Tamandua tetradactyla: one gene and its partners. The protein of the gene in region 1 interacts with the protein of each later gene in a pairwise test. Links are inferred from orthologs where the notes say so. Each region holds a gene or a part of one and is shown in the gene's direction. Other genes may lie near its edges. The genes, in order: TUBGCP4, LZTR1 and SDSL.

Region 1 (7,598 bases):
TTGTCTACCAAGGTCTAAAGGCATTTCCCTTAGTATGTCCTTCTGCTCTAATTTTATTGGCACTATCCAAGTCTAGACTCCTTATCCCGTCACACCCGGATAACCACAGTAGTCAGTCACTGCCTTACCTCGCTTCAGGCCCTCACTTCCTCAATTAAAATACTATTGCTGCCAAATTAGTGTGTTGTGAACACCATTCCCATCACATCTCTTCTTGCTCAGAACTTTCATCAACTCTCTAAATCTTAACCTCATCCAATTTAAACTCCCCTGCAGTTTCTGAGATCAGAATCTAGCCTTATCCTACTTATTGAATCTTAACCTTATTGCCTACCACACACTCTCCATGCATATTAGACTGTTCTCTCCAGAGCACAGCATACCTTTTATCCACCATTCTGTACTTTTCCTTTAATTCCGTCCTATCATATTGAACCCATCCTTCTAGAAGTTCTATATACCAGTGCCCTCAAGTTTTCCCTACACCATCCCTACCTTATCTCTCACTCTGCCAAACAGATATAGTACACAACTGAGTGGTAAGTCATTGTTTGGCACTGTTTCAATACAATTCTGTTCAGCACGTATTTATAATTTGCTGTGCGTCCTCAATCATACTGTAAGATCTTTGAAGACAGGCACCTCTTCTTATTGCACAGAGTACTCTGCAAGGTTTTGAGCACGTGGTAGGTATTCAAAAACCACTTTCTGATTAACCTGCAAGTCTGGTGTGTGGTTCAGGCATTTGATCTGGATGATGAGATAAAGACCATTACCAAACTGGTTGAGAAGGCTAAGATCTTGGACGATAAGATTAGAATTCAAAATAGCCTCAAAAAGTTAAAGAACAAAGTAATTTGCAAAATGGAGTTCAATAGAGTACAAAGAAGAAAAACAAGTTCTACAAAATCAAGTACAAGAATTAGCAACTAGGCACACTTGTAATAGAGAAAGTGATAAGAGTCCTGGAAGTTACCACGTGAACAAGAATGATCAAATAATCCTAAATTGGACTATACTAAAAGAAAATGTAGCAAAATTGTGAAAGAAAAGCTCTCATTCTATCTCTACCTACCAGACACTCACTGGAATAGTTCTCCACAAATAACATGACATCTGGTGAACTTAAAGGTTATAGAGGAGAGTAAGAAAAAAACTTAAGTCTGAAGAATTCAGCTTCAGGGGCAAAGCTTAAACAACAAATATAGTTTTATATGAAGAAGGAAAATGAATAAAAGAAGCTGGGTCTTCAAGTATAGAAAATAAGTTTTATCTAGAAAATAGTGACCCACTGTCATCATTACCAAAAGGAAATAAAATAGTTCCAAATTCTGATAAAACTATGGAGCCATCCTCTAGCAGATTTATCAAAAGTAGAAATATAAAAATACTGTAGGCAGAGGGCTAAATTACATGTCTTCAGGAGGTCCCCAACATCTGCATATTCTACAATTTTCCACTTATTCCTGAAATCCCTTTCCCACTTTCTATTCCCAACCTTACTTCCCCAGTTAGAATGGTATGCTATCTTCCCACATGAATCTACTCCTCACCGCTCCTTTGAAAAGGTCTGAGCTTCTCCTTTGGGTTCATCTGCTCCTGTGGTCCCAGGTCTGGGCTTCTCGCCCTCTCTTTCTTGGGTACACCCCTGGACTGGGGTTCCACTGACTCCTGCCGAACACTTAATAACTCCCGTGATGATTTCAGGGGTGTCATCTTCTCCAAGCGCACTTCCTGCCCCTTCACAGAGACTGTGACCTAGAAACAACCCCCATTAATTGTCACTGCATGGTCGTAGTGGGGGGGGGGCATTCCCAAAGGAGATTAGTTAATACCCCAAAAGAGAGCATCCTCTGGGACACGGCTGCGATTATAGGGGGAGGAGATAATACTGAACATGGGTCTCATTCCATTACTGTTAGCTTAGAGCAGCTGAACTCTAGAAGGAAAAGATCAAAACAATAAACCCAACTACAGGCTAGAAAAAGAAAAATCCCTCTGTCTTCCCTATTAAGTAAGAAACCACGAATAACTCATTATGGCAGGGTAGGTAAAGGTACACCCAGGTAAAATTTCCAGACAAGCTCTATCCGAAAAACTTACCTGTTGCAGTTAAAATTGCAAAAAGGGACTATGCCCTTCTTTAAAACTATCTATATATTTATCTGGCCCTTTACCCTTGCCCCTTTCCAATCACACATTTCTGAATTCCCTCTCCCTTCTCACCGAACGTCCAGGTCTTCCAGGCTTTCTTTCTAAATCTTCTACCAGAGCCACTGCCTCCTCTCCACTTTCTGGACATTGCTCCTGTACCCAATTCTGGATCTCCCCAGGTAAGATGGTCAGGAACTGCTCTAGCACCAACAATTCTACAATCTGCTCCTTGGTGCGCACCTCCGGCCTTAGCCACCGACAGCAAAGTTCCCAGAGTTGGCTGAAAGCCTCCCGGGGCCCAGCCACCTCCTGGTAATGGAATCTCCTGAAGCGCTGGCGGAAGGTCTCAGAGTTAGTGCCATTCCCTCTCAAAGTGGGTTTGGCCATCATTCATAGCAGAAAGCAGCTTCCCTCCACTTAAGTCTGGGTTCCAGGGCCTACACCTATTTTCCCATGTCCTTGGAGAAGCACCTGCAGAAGACTCTCTCTCTGTGAGAGGAGTTTGTTCCTATAATAGAGAGAGATGGCACTATCAGAAGGAATATATTTATATGCCTAAAGTCTTGTCAGGATTGGCCTGACTTCCCATATGCTCCAAGTGGCCATCTGAGGTAGCACCATCTTCAGAGCAGCAAGCCAACACTATGAGCATAAAGGAGTGGGACCTTTCAAAAGCTGCCTTTTGTGGGTGACGTCCAGGACAGCCCCGGGGAAGCAGCAGAGAATAGTATTGTGTGGGGTCCTGTCCCACATCCCCCTTATCTGGTACTATTTAGCTCCCCTGACCAATGACAGTGAATTTGAACCATATGGGAGACTTGGAGCTCGGGAGGATCTAAAGGCAATTCACGACCTGCTGAAAGCCATGGAAAGTCTCTGTCCAGCGGGTTGCAGATGATCTCTCCCAGGACCCTCGCAGTCCTCCCTGAGGCCCTCTGAGTCCGCCCCGCCCCGCCCCGCCCCTTTCAACTTCACAACTACCAATTTCCATCCCAGAGAAAAATCAATTACTGAATATCGGATCTTTGTTTCTCCCTCAGAGCATTAGTAAACTGCTCAACAAGGACTCGGGAGCTACTGAAAGGAAACCATGCGCATCTAAAGTTGGCTTAGGCTCCTGAAACTAAGGCCGAGCAGACTTGGAGAGAGTAACATCGAGTTGGTGGAGGAGTTGGAGAGGGCAGTGGTGATGGGTTTCCTGGGAATGATGAGTTCTGGTGCTGACCAGAGCCTCCGAGTGCTGCGGGGTTCGCGGGCGCGGGGCTCAGCTTAAGCAGGGGCGGGTAAGGGGTTCCGGCCTCTTTGTCTTGGCTCCCTCTGGCCGGGTCACTTTTGGAGCCCCCGTGAAGTCCCTTCTAGAGGCCTTCAATCGGCCTAAGGCACCCTAAGAGCGCCCCCCCCGGCCCACCCCTGGGAGCGTCTCCCTCAGGGGCTGTCCTTTAACCCACTCGCATCCCTACCCAGGACAACCTCACCCACTTCGGGTCCGGCCCCAGCCCCAGCTCTCCAGCCTCCCAGTCCAGCTCCCAAACCGGAAGTCCGAGCGGGAGACTCGGGACACAAAAGGCGCATGCGCGAGCAGCCAAGGCGCCTCCATCTCCCGCGGAGACTGTAGCTAGAGAGCCGGCTGGCCCGGCGGATCGCCGTGCACTTCCGGTGCTCGGCGCGCAGACCTCTGTCGGGTTTCCCATCTGCTTTTCCCGCAGCAGTTCTATCCGTGGGCCTCATTGAGGAGAACCTTCCCGCTCACGGGCTTGTGCGTTCGCCAAGGAGGGAGCGTCGCCTCCGTGGTCTTCTGGAGGGACGCCGGAGGAGAGGGTGACGTATCCAAGGACTCGCGTTCCTCCGTGGGAATGATCCACGAATTGCTTTTGGCTCTGAGCGGGTATCCGGGGTCCATTTTCACCTGGAACAAACGAAGTGGCCTCCAGGTAAGGAGCGCGGGAAGTAACGAGCATATATTCCCGGGACCTGAGCGCGGGAAGTAACGAGCATATATTCCCGGGACCTGAGCCAGAGCCTGGGGTGGAGTCTGAGGGTGTGGAGAAAGCGAGACTTGCAGGCGCTGTGGTTGAAGGGGCGTGCCCCTGAACTGGTAACTGGAGTCCGATGCCCGAGGGGCCTCCGGGTTAGAGGCCGTTCTGGGGGAAACTGAGGGCAGATCCTGAGAGGCCTCACCCTGGCGGGGGACGTGAGACTCAAGGGGCCTAAGGGTCTAGTGTCCGAACCTGAGGAGCTGGAGAACTGCATGTAAAAGTGAAAGAGGAGGAGGAAAAAAGGTGAAAGAGTCACTTTCTCCCATTTTTACACTTGCACTGTGCTTCGAACTGAATTTTGAAGGCCGGCCCAAATACACAGCGCTTGACACGTGCTCAGCAAATTTTGTTGAATGAAGAAATGAATGAGAGCATCTGATGTGTTCCACTTATTACTCGGAAAGGAGTAATTTCCGCAATAGGTGGAAGTGTAATCAGGGCTGTATGAAGTGCTATGTGTTAGACATTTTACATATGCATTATCTCATTTAATCCTCACACCCACCAGTCTCTATTTTACAGCTGAACCTAGAGTCAATATTATGTAACTCTCGGCGTCACGTAGTTGATTAGTAATTAGCAGAGCCTGGCTTTGAACCCAGGTCGTTCTGCCTCCAGTTATCTGAACTATTCTTACCTATTTCTGCTTCCCCTAATGTTATCCAGTACTCGCAATCACTTGAGAAGTTAGATATTGTGAGCCCCAGCTTACAACTGAGCAAGCTGAAGCTCAGAACTTCATACCTGGAGTCCTAGTGGTGACAAATTGAATCTGGGTCTGTGTGGTCACAAAGTTGTGCCATTATTATGTTAACTGACGTTATAGGTTGTGGAAGAGCAGAAAAATTACATTATAGTTTATAAAACGTATAAATCAAACAGATTCCTCTTGTTTTTATAAATTTATGTTTGCAGGTTGGGAATTTAGGTGAGGTTTCCTTAAAAAAATAAGCGAGTTGAAAATTTGTATGGTAGAGTTTGAATTGTTACTTTTTTAACATTTTAAAATTGTGAAGTATATTGTATATACAAAAAAGCAATAAATTCCAAAGTACATTGTAACAAGCAGTTATTGAGCAGATTTCAAAGTTTGGTATGGGTTACAGTTCAACAATTTCAGGTTTTTCCTTCTAGCTGCTTCAAGACACCAAAGACTAAAAGGAATATCTATACAGTGATTCAGTAGTCATACTCATTTGTTAAATCCTATCTTCTCTGTTGTAACTCCTCCTTCTCCTTTGATCCTTCGCCCAATCTTTAAGAGTATTTGTGCTCTTCCCATTCTAACTTTTTCATGCTGGAAAGGGTATTGATAATATGGGATAAGTGCATGAAACTCGTTGATATTCTTGAAGAGGCTAGCCCCTCTGCGTTTCAGGTCTTATCTGGCCTAGGAACTACCTGGAGATTGTAGGTTTCTGGAAAGTAATGTTCACATGTGAAACTTTCGTAGAATCTCAAATAGAGCCTAGATATTTTTTAGGTTAACAGGAATGATGTTGATTGAGTTTGGCAAAACATGGCTATTAGCAATAGCTAGCTGAAAGTTACCTAAGAGTAGCCTCCAGAATAGCCTCTCTACTCTACTTGAGCTCTGTTAGCCACTGATACCTTATTTTGTTACATTTCTTTTTCCCCCTTGTGGTCAGGAAGGCATTGTCAATTCCATGGTGCCAGGGCCAGAGTCATCCCTGAGAATCATGTCCCACATTGCCAGAGAGACTTTCACCCCTGGGAGTCTTGTCCTACATAGGGGGGAGGGTAATGATTTTCTTTACAGAGTTGGGCTTAGAGAGAGAGAGGTCATATCTGAGCATGAATTGTTACTTTTTTAGTACAGGTCTTTGAAGACTGAATTGGTGTTTTATTTTTCCTCCATAGAACTTTGCACAATTTCAGGCATATAGGCGGAGAATGTTCACTAAGTATCTACTGGATGTTTGACTATCTGAAGTAAAAGGAGATTAAAATAGAGTAGAGGAGAGGTAGCTGCTAGGAGCTGAGAAGGGAACCACAAGTAATTCAGCTTTCTTCTTCCTTTCTTTTTTATGAAAAAGTCTCTGTTACTTTCCTCTTTTTTATTCTTAGTCTCAGCTTTAAAGATACCTCCTCAGAAAAAGTTTCCCTGGCACCTCTTTCAATTAGGTATCTTCCTTTTATGTTATTGTTCTCTATCACTGCCACCTGTTTATTTCTCTTATAATACCACAAATCATTAAGATTTATTTATTGTTCTTATCTGTTTATCCTTTTCCCTGCATACATTGCCCATGGAACAGAGACCACGGTAGCCTTCATCATTATACCTGGAGCATCTAGCACAACTTCTGCCCCATAGTAGGTATTTAGATATTTATAGAAGAAAACAAGGTGACCAAAAAAAGAGAATATTGCTTTCTTTCTCAGAGTAGTGTTTTTTACAATTGAATAAAGGGGAAAAAACTGTCATGGATACCCAATGTTGATGAAAATTATTTTATTGTAATATCGAATATGTATACACACACAGCTATGTATAAACTAAAGCATAGCTTGCTCTTAACTATAAAGCCAAATAATATTACAATTAAATATAATCAAAACTACTAAATCAGTAAAATTCAAATTAACATTAATGCGTAGTTTCTCAACCTTGGCATTATTGTCACGTTTGGACCAGATAATTCATTGTTGTGGGGGGCTGTCCTGTGCATTGTGAGCTGTTTAGTGGAATCCTGGGCCCCTACCCACTACTAGATGCCAGTAGCAGCCCCCAAGTTGTGACAACCAAAAATGTCTTCAGACATTGCCAAGTGTCCCTTGGAGAGTAACCAAGTTGAGAACCACTGATCTAATGTGACATATACTGTTGTTTTGCTGAAACAAAATTGTCAACATTGAGTTTAAAAATGGAATGACACATCTGCTCTGTATTTTTCTGTTTGAACATAAGTAATGCTAATTCAAAGAATGCCTGTTAATATAAGTGTGTCGTACAAAATGATATCAATAACTTTAAGGATTTTTGTTCTTTCAGAATAATCAGACAGACATTGAACTTTTCTAAAACTGCCACCAAGCAGTGCTTAAATGCTAATTTTAATAGGTGTATCACTGGGTAAACTGGGTAGAGTTGTCTTACACATAAAAATTGCTTGCATGTTGAGTATTTGCTATGCACTTGACATATACTTTACATTATTAGCTTATTTAATCCTCACAATTATTATCCCAACTTTATAGGTGTGAAAACTGAAGCACAGAGAGGGATAGTGACTTGCCTAAAATTTTGAGTGAAAGGCAACACAGGAATTCATATCCAATCAGGCTGAGTCCAAAAACCAGGTTCTTAAACAGTGTGCCATGCTACCCATCAAATTATTAACCTGAAGATGAGGTAGGCACTATGTCATGATTGAATGAATTCGT
Region 2 (7,598 bases), on another chromosome or scaffold:
CGAGCACCCCCGAGGAAGAGCTTTCCCTGCCCCACACAAGCCCCCCCCCAAGCCACACCTGCCATGTGCACCTGCAGGGGTCCCTTAAGATGCAAGTGCCAGCAAGTTAGCCATCTCACTGCCTCATAGGGAGGACCCCAAGACTCCCTTCCACCCCTGGGACAGGGGACTCCACCCTGCACCCACCTCTTCTTCCCTCTGTCTTGACATTTTTGGAGTATCGGCTGCCAGGAACCCCACTCCTGGTACCAGTTCTGTCTGAGTCCGAGATCTATGGCCAGGTTGGAAGGAAATAGAGGCTACTCATCAGTCATGCATCATAAGGGTTTTCCTGGGAGGCTTATGGAACTGTCAACAGAGCACCCCTGCAGAAGCGGGGCAGCCACCCATGGCCACTCTCTCTGGGGCCCTCGGTGCTGTTATCTGTCCCCCTCTTCAAGCCTGACATGGCTGGTTGGTCAGGTACACAGTAGACAGGACCCCAGGGCACCTCAATTCAGATTCTCCATGCAGGGAAGGAATGGAATGGGTTAGCTTTGAGCCAGGTGCCCCCTCCCAGCTGCAACAGTGGGTGGGCAGTGAGCTGAGCCACAATGGGGGGGAGAGAGAGCTGTGGGGGCGCTCAGGTCAGGCAGTGGTGGAGGGGGAGGAGGGAAAGTGAGGCTGGGGGGCATCTCATGGGCCTGGATCCCCCAGGTCGTGTGGCAGCCCAGAACATGCTGGCACAGGAGGCAGAGATCAGTACTGTCCCCTACCTCTGGACGGCCATGTTCGGCAAGAGCCTGCGCTACACAGGTGACCGAGGGCCTGGGGGTGGGGCTTGGGCATTGAGGGCGGAGCCTAGGACCTGGAGGTGGGGCTGAGGATCTGGGGGTGGGGTCACGACAGAACTAGCAAACACCAGCTAGGACCGTGCTGGGGGTGGGGCCTGAGAGGGGGCGGGGCCCCGATCCTGAGAAGCCCCACCCCCTCCACGTGGCCCACAGGCTATGGGGAAGGCTTCGATGACGTCATCATCCAGGGGGACCTGGAGGAGCTGAAGTTCGTGGCCTTTTACACCAAGTGAGTGCAACGGACGGGAGATGGGTCAGGAAGGGGGGCCTCCTCCGGGACAAGGTGTGCTCCAGAAGTGGGGGGTTTACCCGGAAGGTGCAGCCCATGGCTGGAGCCAGGGGCAAAGGGGGTGGACATAAGTGAGGCAGGAGTCCTGCAGAAGGAAGGCCACGAGGCAGGGGTAATGGTTGCCTATAGCTATCTGGAGGCCCGGCACTCGACCTTCAGGACAGCTCTTCCAGGCAGGTGTTGACACCCCACCCCAAGTGACAGCAGGGAGAGAATGGTGACTCTAGGACAGGAGCCAGGCCCAGGAGGAAGCCAGGAGCCTCCATGGGGGTCCCAGGGGAGCCCTGAAGCAGGAGAGCTGCATGCTTGGAACATGCCCCTCCCTGGGCTCTGGGTGGACAAGGGTCAGTCAGGGTCCTTTGGGAACTGGAGGGGATGCTCGTGGGACAGTGCTCAGGTCCGGCCATTGTCTACCTACAGAGGCGATGAGGTCATTGCTGTGGCCAGCATGAACTATGACCCCATTGTGTCCAAGGTGGCCGAGGTGCTGGCTTCTGGCCGAGCCATCCGGAAGCGGGAGGTGGAGTGAGTATGGGCATGGAGGCCTTGGGGTGGGGAGAACAAGGGGGGCCCCGTCACAGCTCCCACGCCTCAGGGCAGGATGGGGCTATGGGGCATGGCTGTGGCTTGGGAGCCGAGCGGGAAATGTGCTCATGGGGGAGATGTGGAAAAGGGAGGGCTGTGTCCCAGGGCAGAGCCAGGGCTCTGGGATGGGACAAGGCCCATTTCTTGGACTGTCATCTGTCCTGGGACCCATGGCAGACTCTGGACACCAGCCACTACCCCTCCCCACATCTCTAGCACAATGCAGATAGGAATCAACCTGTGCCTTCTGAGAAGCCCCAGGGACTGGGGAAAGCTTGAAGTGGGGGGAGGATAGGGGCCACTGGGCAGGGATGAGGGGCGTGGGGGTGTATGGCCTGAGCTTGGAAATGAGAACCAAGAGGGGATGCAATGAATGACATCCCCTCTTCCTGGCCTTCTCTCTCTCTTCCTCTTGCCTTCACGAAGGCTGTTTGTGCTGCACAGCAAGTACGTTTGTCTTTCTTTGTCCTTTCTGTTGAGGGTTCTGAGCCTTCCCGGAGGGGGTTCTGGTCTACCTTCTCTGTCCAAGTACACACCTCTGCTGGGCACCAGGCCTGGCATGGAGCAGGCCCCAGGCTGTCTTCAAGGGCCAGCTACTTGTGGTGCCCAAAGTGGGAGACCCTCTCATTTTCTGCTCTCATTCCTCTTCCTTTTGTTCCTGCAGGACCGGCGACATGTCCTGGCTCACGGGGAAGGGCTCCTGAGCTCGCATGCAGGAGACTTGGGCAGGAGGGCCGGGGTTCGGGGGACAGAAGCCAAGTCCTGGGGAAGGTGCCAACTTCCCAATTTCCCAGGATCTCCCAGGACAGAACTCGATCCCTTCCATCGCTTGCCTTCCCCTTGCCTAGTCTCTGCTGTCCAGAGATGCCCTGGCTCTCCTCTGCTGGCCTCTGCTGCCACAGATGGCTGGCACAGGAGTTGGGACAGGGCCTGCCTCTTCTCCCTCTCTTGGGTCTGGTCCCCTCCGGGACCTTTTGACGTCTCAGATATTACGTTAAAATAAAAAATGCACACATTTGCAGATCTGTGTGACCCCCAGTGTGATTGGGGAAACACTCATGGGGGAAGAAGCGGACATGGCTCTCCACGGGAAGACACAGGCACACCCCCAGACTTCTCAGTGCCTCACCAAAGAAGTTTGGCTTGAGGGGCGCCCAGAGGAGCTAGCAACTGATTCTGCCTGCGGGGTCAGGAAAAGCTTCTCCCAAAGAGTGGAGATTTTTGAAGGAAGGTCAGTCCAGGCAGAGGGGAGTGCCGAGGGCTCAAGAAAGGAAATGCTTCTTCAGAGGTCAGAGGGAGACTCATGTCTGGCAGTTTGGGGGGCACCTGCCACCTAGGGCTGCAGGAACTGATCCTGGGACAGATTCCGTTTTCTGGGACCCTGCCAGTAGATGGCAGAGGAAGAATGGGAATCCAGAGGCCCTGCTCTTTTCGCTGCTCCATGCTGCCCCCGAGCCAACGAGAACACAAAGGGGAGACCACGGGGCCGGGGGGGCCGCTGTGAGGCCGGAACCTTCCCTCCGGGATGCCGGGAGCGGCGGAAGGTCTAGGGCGTGGGACACCGGAAACTGCAGACCCTCCGCGGCGGGGGCCTGGCGGGCTCCGGGGAAGTGTAGGCACACAGGGCTGGCGGCGGAGGCTCCGCGTTCACTAGAAGCGGGTCTCGGGCGCCCGTACTTCGCCGGAAGGCTGCCGCACACGGTCGCAGGGAAGACCCGGCCGCAGCCCAGTGCCGCGCCCGTCCGTGGTGTCCAAGCCCAGCTAGGCCTGTCCGGAAGTGCGGTAGCGCCGGCCGGAAGTGTCGCGCCGTGGGCGCAGGGCGAGCCGGAAAATGTAGTCCCGTCGAGTGGACCCGGGCGGTGGCCGCACATCCCGCCGACCCGGGATGGCTGGGCCCGGCGTCTCGGGGGTCCCGATCGGGACCGGGGCCCTGGCCGGCGGCGCGCGGTCCAAGGTGGCCCCGAGCGTGGACTTCGATCACAGCTGCTCCGACAGCGTGGAGTACCTGACGCTCAACTTCGGGCCTTTTGAGACAGTGCATCGCTGGCGGCGCCTCCCGCCCTGCGACGAGTTCGTGGGCGCTCGGTACGGGCGGGATCAGGGGGGTCCTTGGGGGCGGACGGTGGTCTGAAGGGGTCGCAGGGGCGAGGCCTGGACCTGATGTCCCGGGGGGCAGGGTCTGGTCTTTGGGGGAGGGGTGGGGGAAGGGGGTCCAGGGCTGGGAGGGGACGCCGAGGGGGACCCCAGAACGAAGTGACCCCAGGGCAGGGTCCGACGGCGCAGGCTTCGGGGTGTCTGGTCTGGGACCCTGGGTGATCTGCGGCAGGGTGGGGAGGTCCAGGGAGCCCCTTACATTTGGGGGTGCAGGTGGAATTTAGGGTCCTCAGTAGGTGTAGGAAGGTGAGAGGGGTTACCCCACTTTGGGAGCAGGCTTCTAGCTTGGTCTCATCCTTTGGATGCTCCCCCCTCCAGGAGGGTCCGACTTTACGATCCCCCCCCACTCCCACCCCATCTTTTCTTCCAGGCGCAGCAAGCACACAGTGGTGGCTTATAAAGATGCCATCTACGTATTTGGTGGAGACAATGGGTGAGGACGTGTGGGGACCACTGCGGGGGGTGCATGGTGGTCAGGGATGAGCTCCTGTCTTTTGGGGTTCAGCTAAGGCTCAACTCCCCATCTGTGATGCCCCGCCTCCCAGATCCTGGTGAGAATAAAATGAGAGCCTGTCCCTAGGCCAGCAACACACATGCAGTAGGGATACAGGCTCAGTACACAGAAATGTCCCCTTGTTCTGGGCGAGTAGACACAGCTTTGAAAGGACCATGTAGGCCCTTGCTGTCACCTCCCCACCAGGTAGTTTTCCTTCCCTGCCCTCCCTCTGGGACTTGCCCAGCAGCACATGTTGCAGCTGAGAAGGCACAGAGGACACGGCTTTATTTCCTGCATTTTTCACTTTCGGTGAGGATCTTCCTACGTTGTTATAAACTCCCGGCAAGTAGCCTTCCTGGCAGTGATCTGAGGTCCTGTTGGTGGGACACCTCTGCACCCCTCCTACAATGCGGCCAGTTTTCCTTAGTAAACGATCACAGCAAAGGGAAATCTTTGCCTTATGTAGCCACTGCCTACCTCGGGAGCTGGACCTTTGAAGAGAGAGGAGCTTGTCTCAGCGTGTGCTGGGCCATGTCACTTACTGGGTGGGGGTGCTGTTCTGGGCAAGGGAAGTAGAGTTCTGATTTGGTTAGGGAAATCTTACCAGAAGGGATGATGACCTGAAAAATTAGTAGGCAGGCTACTAAGTTTTAGGAGGCAGGCAAAGGAGGGAAGGGACTTCCAGGCAGAGAGAGGATAGGTCAGGAACAGTGTGGCAAGGCCCGATGACCACACAGGGCCTTCCCCCCTTCCCTAACTCATCCATTCATTCGTCGTGCTCAGGAGAAAAGCCCAAGGACACCAGGAATCTGGGCAAGGATGGGAGTCACCCAGAGGCGGGGCTGAAGCTTAGTCTGTTGGATGGGCAGGGCTCAGCTCAAATTAGAGCCTTGTGGCTTGGGGGTCAGGCAGGAAGCGTAACCACGCCAAGTGTGCTTTGGCTTCCTCTGTCTGTGGGGCGGTAGCTGTCCTGCTGACACCCCCAAGGGTCAGGGAGCATGTGGCCATGAGGCCCAGCACAGAGGAGGGAGAGTTTTTGCAGCCGATCCTGCCCTTGAGTCCTGCTCCCACCTTTCAGCCCCAGGACCTGATTGGCACTGCATGCCTAGGTCTTTCAGGGCTCCCCCAGGGAGCTGACTTGGGGGGCTCCTGGCTTCCACCCCATCTCCCCACATGAGCAGCAAGAGAGACCCGTTTAAAAATGCAAGCCACAGCGCATCCCTCCCCAGCTCACAACCCTGAGATACCTTCCTGCCTTCCTTGGAGTAAAAGCCAAAATCTTTGTAGCAATTCCTGAGGTCCTCTGCTCTTGCCTCTCTCACACATCCCTTTGCTGCACTGTAGCTGCACCAGCTGCCATACTGCGTTTTGATTGTGCCGAGCACCGTCCTGTCTGAGGCCTTTGCATTGGCTGTTCCCCTCTGCCTGGAATGCTTTTCCCTCAAGGTGTCCACCCGGCCTACCCCTGTCCCTCCTTCCCCTGCCCTCCTCTGTGCAGCTCAGGAGCAAGGCCTTGAATGGCCTCCCAGCCCCTTCCAACCCCTCCATCCTCCTTGCTGGAATGTCAGCTCCACCGACGCAGGGTGGTACTTTGTGCATGGCACCCCATGGCCCAGACGAGGAATAAATGATATTTCAGGGTCTGCAGGCATTTATTGGCACTTTAAGGAGAATCCCCCCCCCCAAACCATAGAAAGCTGCAGTGCCCACCCTGGGCAGTGGAAGTGGGGTACAGGGGTGCCAGTCCTTTAGACATTAGAGTTTTGTGCAAGGAGCAGAAACATGCTTGCTATAATGTGACACTCAGAAAAAAGGATACAAATGTATCTTTATTTTGAGCTGCAACTTTGTAAGGCTAGCTGGGTACAAAGGAAAATGGCCTGGGGGGTGTGGGGGCTGCAGGTGGGATCACCTAGCTGCCTGTCCTCCAGCCTTAGTTTCCCCTCCTGGAACTTGGGAGCGGGGGACCATCTCTGGAGGTGGAGAGCACCCCGTTCTGGGTGGGTGCAGGTGGAAGGAGGCAAGTGAAGGGAGCGCCGGCTGTGCAGTCGGGGATGCTTGGCTCTTGGGGTCCCCATCCACTCTTTTCCGGGAAGACAATGAGGCTGAGGCAGCGGCCAGTAGGTTCTTCATCCCTTTATCCGTATCTTTAGCATCATCGTCTCATAGTTTTGGTTTCTTTGCTGTTGTTTTTTTTTAAGTTTTCCTTGTGTAAAAATATATACATGTGGTGGGGCATGGTGGCTCAGCAGGCAGAGTCCTCCCAGTGCCTGCCCACCCACCCCCCCCAAAAATATATATATATATACACGATGTGAGATATCCCAGTTGAGCCAACTTCGGGGACACAGCCCAGTGGCATTGGTGCCACTTCTAGGCCACTGTCCACGACCACACCTTTTCCATTGCCCTCTCCAAAAAAAGAAACTCTGTACCCATTAAGCCAGAGCCCCCCATTCCTCCAGCCCCATCCTGGTGCCTGGCACCCTGCATTCTGATTTCTGACTCCAAATTTGCACAGTGTCTGTCCCCTGTGGGGTCTGGCTTTATTTCACCCACCAGGAAGCCCTCAGGGCTCACCCAAGTGGTGACACGTGTCAGCTATCACATTTTGATCCTAAAGGGTTGGCCAGAGGGTCATGAGAGAAGCCAAGGAGGGTCTCCCTGGAGCTTGTGGGTAAGGGGGCTGCATGGTGGTGGCACGGTTCCAGGCCGTATCCTGGTCTCTCGACTCAGCATGGGCTGGAGTTCCAGCTGGGGAGTCTCAGTTGTTGGGGTTCACTGATGAAGCAGCCCCCCAATCCCTCCCCCACCTGCAGTGCCCAGTGTCTGGGGTCCCAAAACACTCCGTGTGCCTCTTTCAGGAAGACCATGCTCAATGACTTGCTGCGTTTTGACGTGAAGGACTGCTCCTGGTGCAGGTGGGTGGCTGGCACCCCAGGGTCCCCCCTCCCACTCCCATCTTTCCCAGAACCAGCTCCCGCAGGTCAGAAGGAGAGGATGGTTCCCGGGATGCTGTGTCCAGGCCACTTTTAGGATTTCCCCCTGTCCCCTGGGTTTCCTTTCCAGTCTAAGGCTGCGGTTGGTAAGTTTGGTCCAGTTGCAGATCTGCAAGCTCTGCCCCAGCCCAGGCCCCCAGGCCAATCTCGGGGTCCTGGGGCTGCCGCGGGATCTGCTGGCTGAGCGGGGTCCTGCCAGGGCTGACCCCCATGCCATCCTGTGCCACCCGGGTGCTGGCAGC
Region 3 (7,598 bases), on another chromosome or scaffold:
GTGGCTCTGGGAGGGGACAGGCCAGTGACCCAGGTCCTCCTCTCCAGCCTCTATCTGCTCTCCACTGCAGCCACCCTGTCCCCCCATCCCCACCCCACCCCCACCCAGGCCAGGAGGTTGGAGCTGGGCCTAGCAGTGTCCTGAGCTCTGGCTCTGCACTACTGTGTGACCTTGGGAAAGCAGCTTGGCCTCCCTGAGCCTGTTTCCATAACTGTAGGATTCATTACAATACCCACCTTTCCAGGGTTGTTAAGGATTTTGCAAGATAATGGTGTCCCTTTCCCAAATTTCAGATATTCAGGTACTGCCTTTGTCATTTTCGTCATATTGTCATGTCATCTTTTTTATAGAAATAATAATAGTAGCTGCGGCAAACATGGGTACTTGCTACCATCCTGAATATTTTGCATGGATTACCTTAAATAATTGTCACATGGCTAAAATTCTAGTAATATTTTATCTCCATCTTACTGTTGAGGAAACCAAGGCAAGGCCTGTGTTCTAACCACTAGTTCATGCTCTACTGGGTCAACTCCATGCTTGAAACTATTAACATTTACTTAATATTTTTTTTTTGAAACAGACTCCCTTTTAAAATATTAATGCCTGCTTTAGTTTCTTCCTAAGCAAAATCTGGGAAACTATAGGTTTGATATTATATATATGATAATATATTCCCTAACACAGAAAGAAAGACCCAACTATTTAAAAAATATGCTGGGATATGCTAACCAGCACGAATGGATGTGGCATACAGCAGGCATGCAATAAATGTAGCAGTTCTGCTTCTTGCCCACGCTTGAGCTGTGTGCTAAAGCTCTACCTCCTCCAGGAAGCCCAGCCTGATTTCATACCCCAGTTACCTGCTGGAGAACTTCTGCCCTCTGTCCTCCAAGGGGGTGTTAGAGTTACAAGTGGGTTGGGTGCCTCACTCCTCTAGGCTGGAGGTCACCTCAGGACGTAAACTGGGTTCCATCACCCTTGGGTTCCCAGCACCCAGTCCAGGACAGGACACCTGACAAGGCTCACGGTGGGTTGTTTTTTTAATGTTCTTTACTGTAAAATATAACATATATACAAAGCAAACAAATAAAACAGGAATAATTTTCAAAGCACACTCAACAAGAACAGATCCCAGAGTTTGCCATGGGCTACCATTCTACCATCTCAGATTTTTCCTTCTAGCCTCCAGTGTTCTAGAATATTAAAATAGTGATTCCCCAGCCATACTCATTTGTTAAATCCCATTTTCTCTGTTATACCTCCTCCTTCTCGTTTAATCCTTCTCCCAATCTATAGGGATCTTGGGCAATGCCTGTTCTGACTTTTTCATGTGGAGAAGGGATGTCCACAGTAAAGAATAGGGGATGAAATTAGTTGATAATTCTGGAGAGGCTGGTCCCTCTGGGTTTCAGGATTTATCAGACTTAGGAATTATAGGTTCCAGGAAGGCAAACCTAGTGCATGGAACATTTATAGAGCCTCAGTTTGAGCCTTAGGTGTTCTTAAGAGTCAACAGGAGTGATGTTGGTTGGGGTTTAGCAAACCATGGCAGTCAGCACTATCTCACTGAAGCTTGCATAAGAGAAGCCTCCAGAATAGCCTCTTGACCTCATTTGATCTCTCTTGGCCACTGATACCTTATTTTATTACACTTCTTTTCCCCCTTTTGGTCAGGAAGGTATTGCGCCAGGGCCAGGCTCGCCCCCGGGGAGTCACGCCCCACGTTTTCAGGGAGACTTTCACCCCTGAATGGCTTGTACCGTGCAGGGCGGAGGCTCATGATTTTCCTTGTAGAGTTGGGCTTAGAGAGAGAGAGAGAGGCCACATCTGAGCAACAAACAGAGTTTCCTGGAAGCAACTCCTAGGTCTCGTTATGGATAGTCTTAGCTTCTCCCCCTGAATATGGAACTCTTCACAAATTTGCGTGTCATCCTTGCACAGGGGCCACGCTAATCTCTGTATCATTCCAGTTTTAGTATCTGTGCCGCCAAAGCACCCACTCAGGGTGTTTGTAGCGTGCGGATGGGTCTGAAGTCGCACAGTCCTTACTAAGGTTCATGACCAGGCAGTTCCACTTGACCCCAAGGAGTTACTCATTGAACCCGGGGAGGTCACACGTGGGCCAAGAAGGACACAGAACGTCCATACTCCAGGTCTTTCCTGGGCCTCACCTCCTGCTTTATAGATGGGGAAACTGAGGCCCAGAGGAGGGCGTGACTGGCTCAGTGAGGCGGTGACAGAGACGTGAATCTGATCATGTCACTCCCCTGCCTAAAGCCTTCTGTGGCTCCCTATTTCCTCCAGGTAAGTTCCAGGCTCTGAACTGGCACAGGAGTCCCTGTGGACTCTGGCCCCTGCCCAGCTCTCCTGCCCCAAAACCCCTTGCTTCTCCAGCCCTCCTTCTCTCTTCTGCTCCCACTGAGCACTCTGTCCCTGAAATGCACCATGTTTTTCAAATCCCAGACCTTTGGACTTCATGTGCCTGTTCCTGGCTCAGCGCAGACTTGCCCTCCTCCAGGAGACCTTCCCAGCCTCCACGGCTAGCTCAGGGTACCCGCAGCCCCGTCACCAGGCACCGCCCGATGGCATAGCCCCAAATGTAATTGCTCGTCACTGGCCCCGTGAGGGCGTCGGGAGGGCAGGGGACACACTGTCTTGCTTGAGCTGTGTCCCAGGGCTTGGCACGTAGTAGGTGTTCGATAAAGACTTGCTGAATGAACGAATGCTCAGAGTCATTCATTGGAACAATAAATATTTGTTTGGGTTCTTACGTTGGATATAAAATATCAGAGATGGAAAAATACTTCAGAAAAAAAGATGCCTTTCTCACGTGACAAATAATAATTCGTGACTTCTTGCCGTCATTTTCCTCCACCCCTGACACCTAAGCTGTCCCCAACAGTGGCCCGGGGGACACTTGGCATCTGGGATGGACTTGGAGTAAGAAGATGGGAAGATGTCTGTAGCATGAGAGGGGTGGTCCGGGGTCGGGGCAAAGGCTGGCTCTGCCCTGCTGTCTGGGTGGGCTCAGCCTCAGTTTCCTCACTTGTCTAATGGGACCGGGTAATGCACTTGGGTAGCACCAGGGCGGGCAGCGAGGGTTGCTTCTCGTCTCCTTCCTTCTGCTGTCTCCGCAGCCCAAGGCTTAGAGCTGAGCACTGTCCCTTTAAGTGGGAGGAGAGGCTGGGGCTGCAGGGAGCGGCCGGTGCCCAGCAGGTGTGCAGGACCCACGCTGATCTGGGGACTGTCAAGCAGGGAGGTAAGGGGACCTGGGCTCAGCTGTGGGAGTGGGAGGGGGTGGTGGTCTGAGCGGCTCTGGGGCACAGTCCAGGTGAATGGACAGGAAGTGAAAGGGGATGAGTGTGGCTGAGCCTTCCAGGAACCTCGGGGCAAACAGGGTGCCCTGTGCCCAGCCTGCCTGGAGAAGCCAGCCAGTCACCAGGGACACTGAGGGGCCCAAAGGCCAGCTTGGGGCTTCCCCGGCCTGACACCTGGGATCAGGCTGTGGCATGGGGTCAGCCAGGTGGCCTCTCAGGAAAGGCCTTAGGGACCAGGAAAGTGGAACGAGTAGGTGGTGGCCTTTTTTTTTCACTTTAATTTACCAATGAGGCGAGCAAGGTCCAGAGAGGAAATGTGGCTTGGCCAAGGTTATGCAGAGAAGGGCCCTGAGCCCAGGCCCTGGGCTGCCCTCTGCCTTATTCCACGCCCAGAGGACCTAAGGCTCTTAGCACAGCCTCTATGGCTGCTGCAACCACCAAGAGCTCAGCCCCAGACCTCAGAATGGGACACACCTAATCCCCAACTTCCACCAATGAGGTCGGGGAGGCCTGGGCCCCTGATGGGATTTGGGCTTGCCAAAGCTTGCTTATTTAACTGATGCCCACTGTCCTCTCGTGGGAAGCCGGTATGGCCAAGAGAACTGGAGCAGCCTGGGGACTGAGGATAACTGGCAATAATTATTAAATACTGACACCTTTAAAAATAATAATCTAACAATAACACTAATAGTAATAGTGGAAGTATAGTGGTTAGGAGCACAGACACCAAAGCCAGACTGCCTGGGCTGGATCTTGGCTGTGCCATTTGTAGCTGTGTGACCTTGGACAAGTTACTTAACCTCTCTGGGTCTCAGTTTCATTGTCTCTACAATGCAGTTAATAATATCTCATCGAGTGGTTGGGAGGATTAAAAGAGATAATATACAAGGTGCTTAGCACAGCGCCAGCTCCCAGTAAGTCCCACACAACTATTACCTCTTATGATAATATGTCACACAGAGAGTTGGGGCTTTTGCTACATGGCTTCCCTTAATTTTCCCAATGCCCTTTGATGTATGGCTTCTTCACCCAGTCTCTGGTATGGCTAGTTCGTTCTCATCTTTCAGATCTCTGTATAATGGTCACCAATTCTATGGTCACCAATTCTAAGAGGCCTTTCCTGACCTCCCTGCCCAAAGTACATCCCTTTGTTTTTCTCTTTCATGGCTTCTTATATACTTGTTTCCTTCTTAGAAGTTTTCACCGTTTCTAATTATTTTGTTTGTCTATACAGTTATTAGTTAAGTGCTATTCTCCTCATCACACTGCAAACCATCTTTTTAGCAGAACCTGGTGTCTTGTTCACCATGGTCTCCCCTGTGCCTAGGATGCTGCACCTCATAGGTACCTTATAAACCTGCAACATTGAAGACGTGTGCCTGGTGTTAGAAGTCCTCACAGAGGTACCCTCTGCAGAGGACTCAGACCATGCCTGGTACACAGGAGGGGCCCAAGAAATGGTGGCTGTTGTTATTATCAATCTGCATTCCAGCTGAAGAGGTTGGGATGGTTACTATCCCATCTTACAAACAGGGAAACCTAGGCACAGAGTGGTTGAGACACTTGTCCAGGTTACACAGCCAGAAAGTCAGAGCTGGTTTCTAACTTTAGTTTATGCTTGACCCCAAAATCCATACCCTGGGACTCCATGGTTGAGGTGGAGGTTATGCTGGGTTGGGGACGAGCGGTGACCTGTGCCCCTTCCTCTTATATCCAGCCCAGAAGTGCCCCGGATGGGACTGGGCAGGGGTGACTCAGGCTTCACCCTGTCTGGGGAGGCCCCGAGCCACCCTGACAAGGGGGTCAGATCCCCTGGTGGGAGGAGGGAACTTCATTGATCAGGGGACTCCAGAAGCTTGGGCGTCTGTGTGTGTATATGTGTGCGTATGTGTGTGCGCACGCGCGCGTGCATGTAGTGGCCACGGAGCGCTCCCTGGTGGCTTAAAGTGGAACTGCGGGGGCTGGCCAAAGACCACTGCCCCAGAGAGAAAAGTGGGCTTGGTTTCGCTTCTTTTAAAAATTCCTTCTTTTTCCCTGCCTTCTCCTTTCCTCCTTCTCTCCTTCTTGCAACTTCTCATTGGTTCATTTACTCATTCACTCACCTACTCACCCCTCTCTCCATGGCTTAAACTTCCCAATGGCTCCCATTCCAAGAGGAACCAGAATAACCTCCACCCTCCTTCTCACAGAACACCCACCCAGCCCGCCACCCAGCCCCTTCCCGCCCCAGCCACTTGTCCTCCTGCGCCGGCAGCACCCCAAGTGCATTTCTCCCGCGAAGTGTTCCTACCTGTGTTCCCTCTGCAGGAGTACCCTCCCTTGGCTGCTATATATACATATATAAATCTTCACAAACAGCCCATCCGGAGTGTACAATCAGTGGCTCACAACATCACCACATAGTTGTATATGCATCGCCACGATCATATTTAGAATATTTGTATCACTCCAGAAAAAGAAATGAAAGGAAAAAACTCATACATCCCAAACCCCTTACCCTCCCTCTCATGACCACTAGTACTTCCACCTATCCTTTTTTCATTTTACACCTTATTTCCCATATTATTCATTTTTTTGTTCTTATTTTTTTACTCATCTGTCCAGACCCCAAATAAAGGGAGTTTCAGTCACAAGGTTTTCACAATCACATGGTCACACTGTAAATGCCATATAGTTATACTATCATCTTCAAGAATCAAGGCTACTGGAAGACAGCGCAACAGTTTCAGGTACTTCCCTCCAGCCGCTTCAATACACCATAAACTAAAAAGGGGTACGTATATAATACGTTTGAATAACATCCAGGATAACCTCTCGACTCTGTGAAATCTCTCAGCCACTGACACTTTATTTTGTCTCATTTCTCCCTTGCCCCTTTTGGTCAAGAAGGCTTTCTCAATCCCTAGATGACAGGTCCCACCTCATTCCCCAAGAGATTTATCCCCGCGGGAGTCACGTCCCACATGGCGGTGGAGGGGGCGGGGTAGTTGGCCTGCTTCTCGTTTTCATTCATCTCAAGTTTCCCCTCTTGAGAACATACAGATCAAAGAAATTTTAAAAACCTATCAACCAATCAGAATGCACTGACTGTATTCACATCCCGATTCAAACTGTCAAAAACCAAAAACCACCACTTTAATCACATTGATGAGAGAACTGGAAGTTTGAACAATTACCAGATATTTGATGATATTGAGAAGCTATTAATATTTTTAGGTGTGATAATTGCATCATGGTTATATATTTTAAAAAATAGCATTGTCAAGGTATAATTGAAAGTCAATAAAATTGGCCCATCTTAAGGGTAGAATTCAATGTGTTTGGACAAATGTATACAGTTGTGAAATCGTGTGAGTACTTTTTTTAAAAAAAATGTCTTTTAGAGATATAGAAATATTTACTGATAAAAGAATACAGGAGGAAAATAAAATAATAATAAAGGAAGGAAAACACAGTACTACAGGAAGGGGCATTTGCACAGATGTGGTTGAAACAACATAGCCTATGAATCGATGATTGTTGGGTCCCTACACAGGAGGCTGTGATATAGTTCTCACCTCTTTTCCATAATACAAGTTTTTTTTTTTTAAAGTGTCCCTCTCTAGCTAAAATACCATCCACTCCCAAGTCACTCCTATTTGAAGTTCTGTGATTCTGTCTCCCCAGCTACAAACATGAGCTCAGGCAAAGCTTGCCCACTCCTGGGCACCAAGCCTGGAACCACCTGGTACATAACGTGCTCAGTATAGGGTGGGTGGGCGGGCGGACAGACGGATATGGCCTCCACTCCCTCATGCATTCATGACCACGTACTGGTCACGCTCTCCACTCCCAGCACTGTGGGCAGCTACCGTTATGGAACAAAAGGGGCCCTGGTCCAAACCCCTTCCAGATATGGACACGGAGGCCCAGAAAGGGGCAGGTCCTCGCAGTCTCGCAGCCCAGCAGCCCGACGGAGCTCAGGGAGACCAAGCTGAGGGGCCCCCACCTTCCCCTCCGCGGCCCCGGTTGAGGGTCCCATGGCTAGAGCTGCCTGCACAAGTCTTCTGTGTCCCACAGGCGATGGCTGGGATGGAGGACCCTGCCCAGCGGGGGCCCTTCCACGTGGTCACGCCTCTGCTGGAGAGCTGGGCGCTGTCCCAGGTGGCGGGCACAACTGTCTTCCTCAAGTGCGAGAATGTGCAGCCGGCCGGGTCCTTCAAGATCCGGGGCATTGGGCACTTCTGCCAGGAGGTGAGGGCACGGGGCAGGAGGGGAGGTGGGGGAGGTTACAGGAGG

The links.
Region 2: the proteins of TUBGCP4 (region 1) and LZTR1 interact in binary tests that used the Homo sapiens proteins (3 or more experiments, as listed by UniProt). The link is inferred for Tamandua tetradactyla from reciprocal best matches to the Homo sapiens genes TUBGCP4 and LZTR1.
Region 3: the proteins of TUBGCP4 (region 1) and SDSL interact in a two-hybrid assay, tested with the Homo sapiens proteins (2 studies listed by BioGRID and IntAct). The two-hybrid records come from large-scale screens. The link is inferred for Tamandua tetradactyla from reciprocal best matches to the Homo sapiens genes TUBGCP4 and SDSL.

Annotation. Positions count from the first base shown.
Region 1 is NC_135340.1:57,627,818-57,635,415, forward strand, and holds the start of TUBGCP4 (gamma-tubulin complex component 4), read left to right. Parts: upstream 1-3,732; 5' UTR 3,733-4,007; coding exon 4,008-4,085; intron 4,086-7,598. Other genes in the region: ZSCAN29 (zinc finger and SCAN domain-containing protein 29), read right to left, coding at 1,554-1,758, 2,227-2,544. UniProt on the Homo sapiens protein: Component of the gamma-tubulin ring complex (gTuRC) which mediates microtubule nucleation.
Region 2 is NC_135331.1:26,806,183-26,813,780, forward strand, and holds the start of LZTR1 (leucine-zipper-like transcriptional regulator 1), read left to right. Parts: upstream 1-3,280; 5' UTR 3,281-3,592; coding exon 3,593-3,792; intron 3,793-4,231; coding exon 4,232-4,294; intron 4,295-7,221; coding exon 7,222-7,278; intron 7,279-7,598. Other genes in the region: AIFM3 (apoptosis-inducing factor 3), read left to right, coding at 697-795, 987-1,062, 1,543-1,647, 2,372-2,411. UniProt on the Homo sapiens protein: Substrate-specific adapter of a BCR (BTB-CUL3-RBX1) E3 ubiquitin-protein ligase complex that mediates ubiquitination of Ras (K-Ras/KRAS, N-Ras/NRAS and H-Ras/HRAS).
Region 3 is NC_135331.1:14,093,181-14,100,778, forward strand, and holds the start of SDSL (serine dehydratase-like), read left to right. Parts: upstream 1-3,192; 5' UTR 3,193-3,262; intron 3,263-7,379; 5' UTR 7,380-7,382; coding exon 7,383-7,553; intron 7,554-7,598. UniProt on the Homo sapiens protein: Catalyzes the pyridoxal-phosphate-dependent dehydrative deamination of L-threonine and L-serine to ammonia and alpha-ketobutyrate and pyruvate, respectively. Also exhibits racemase activity towards L-glutamate and D-glutamate.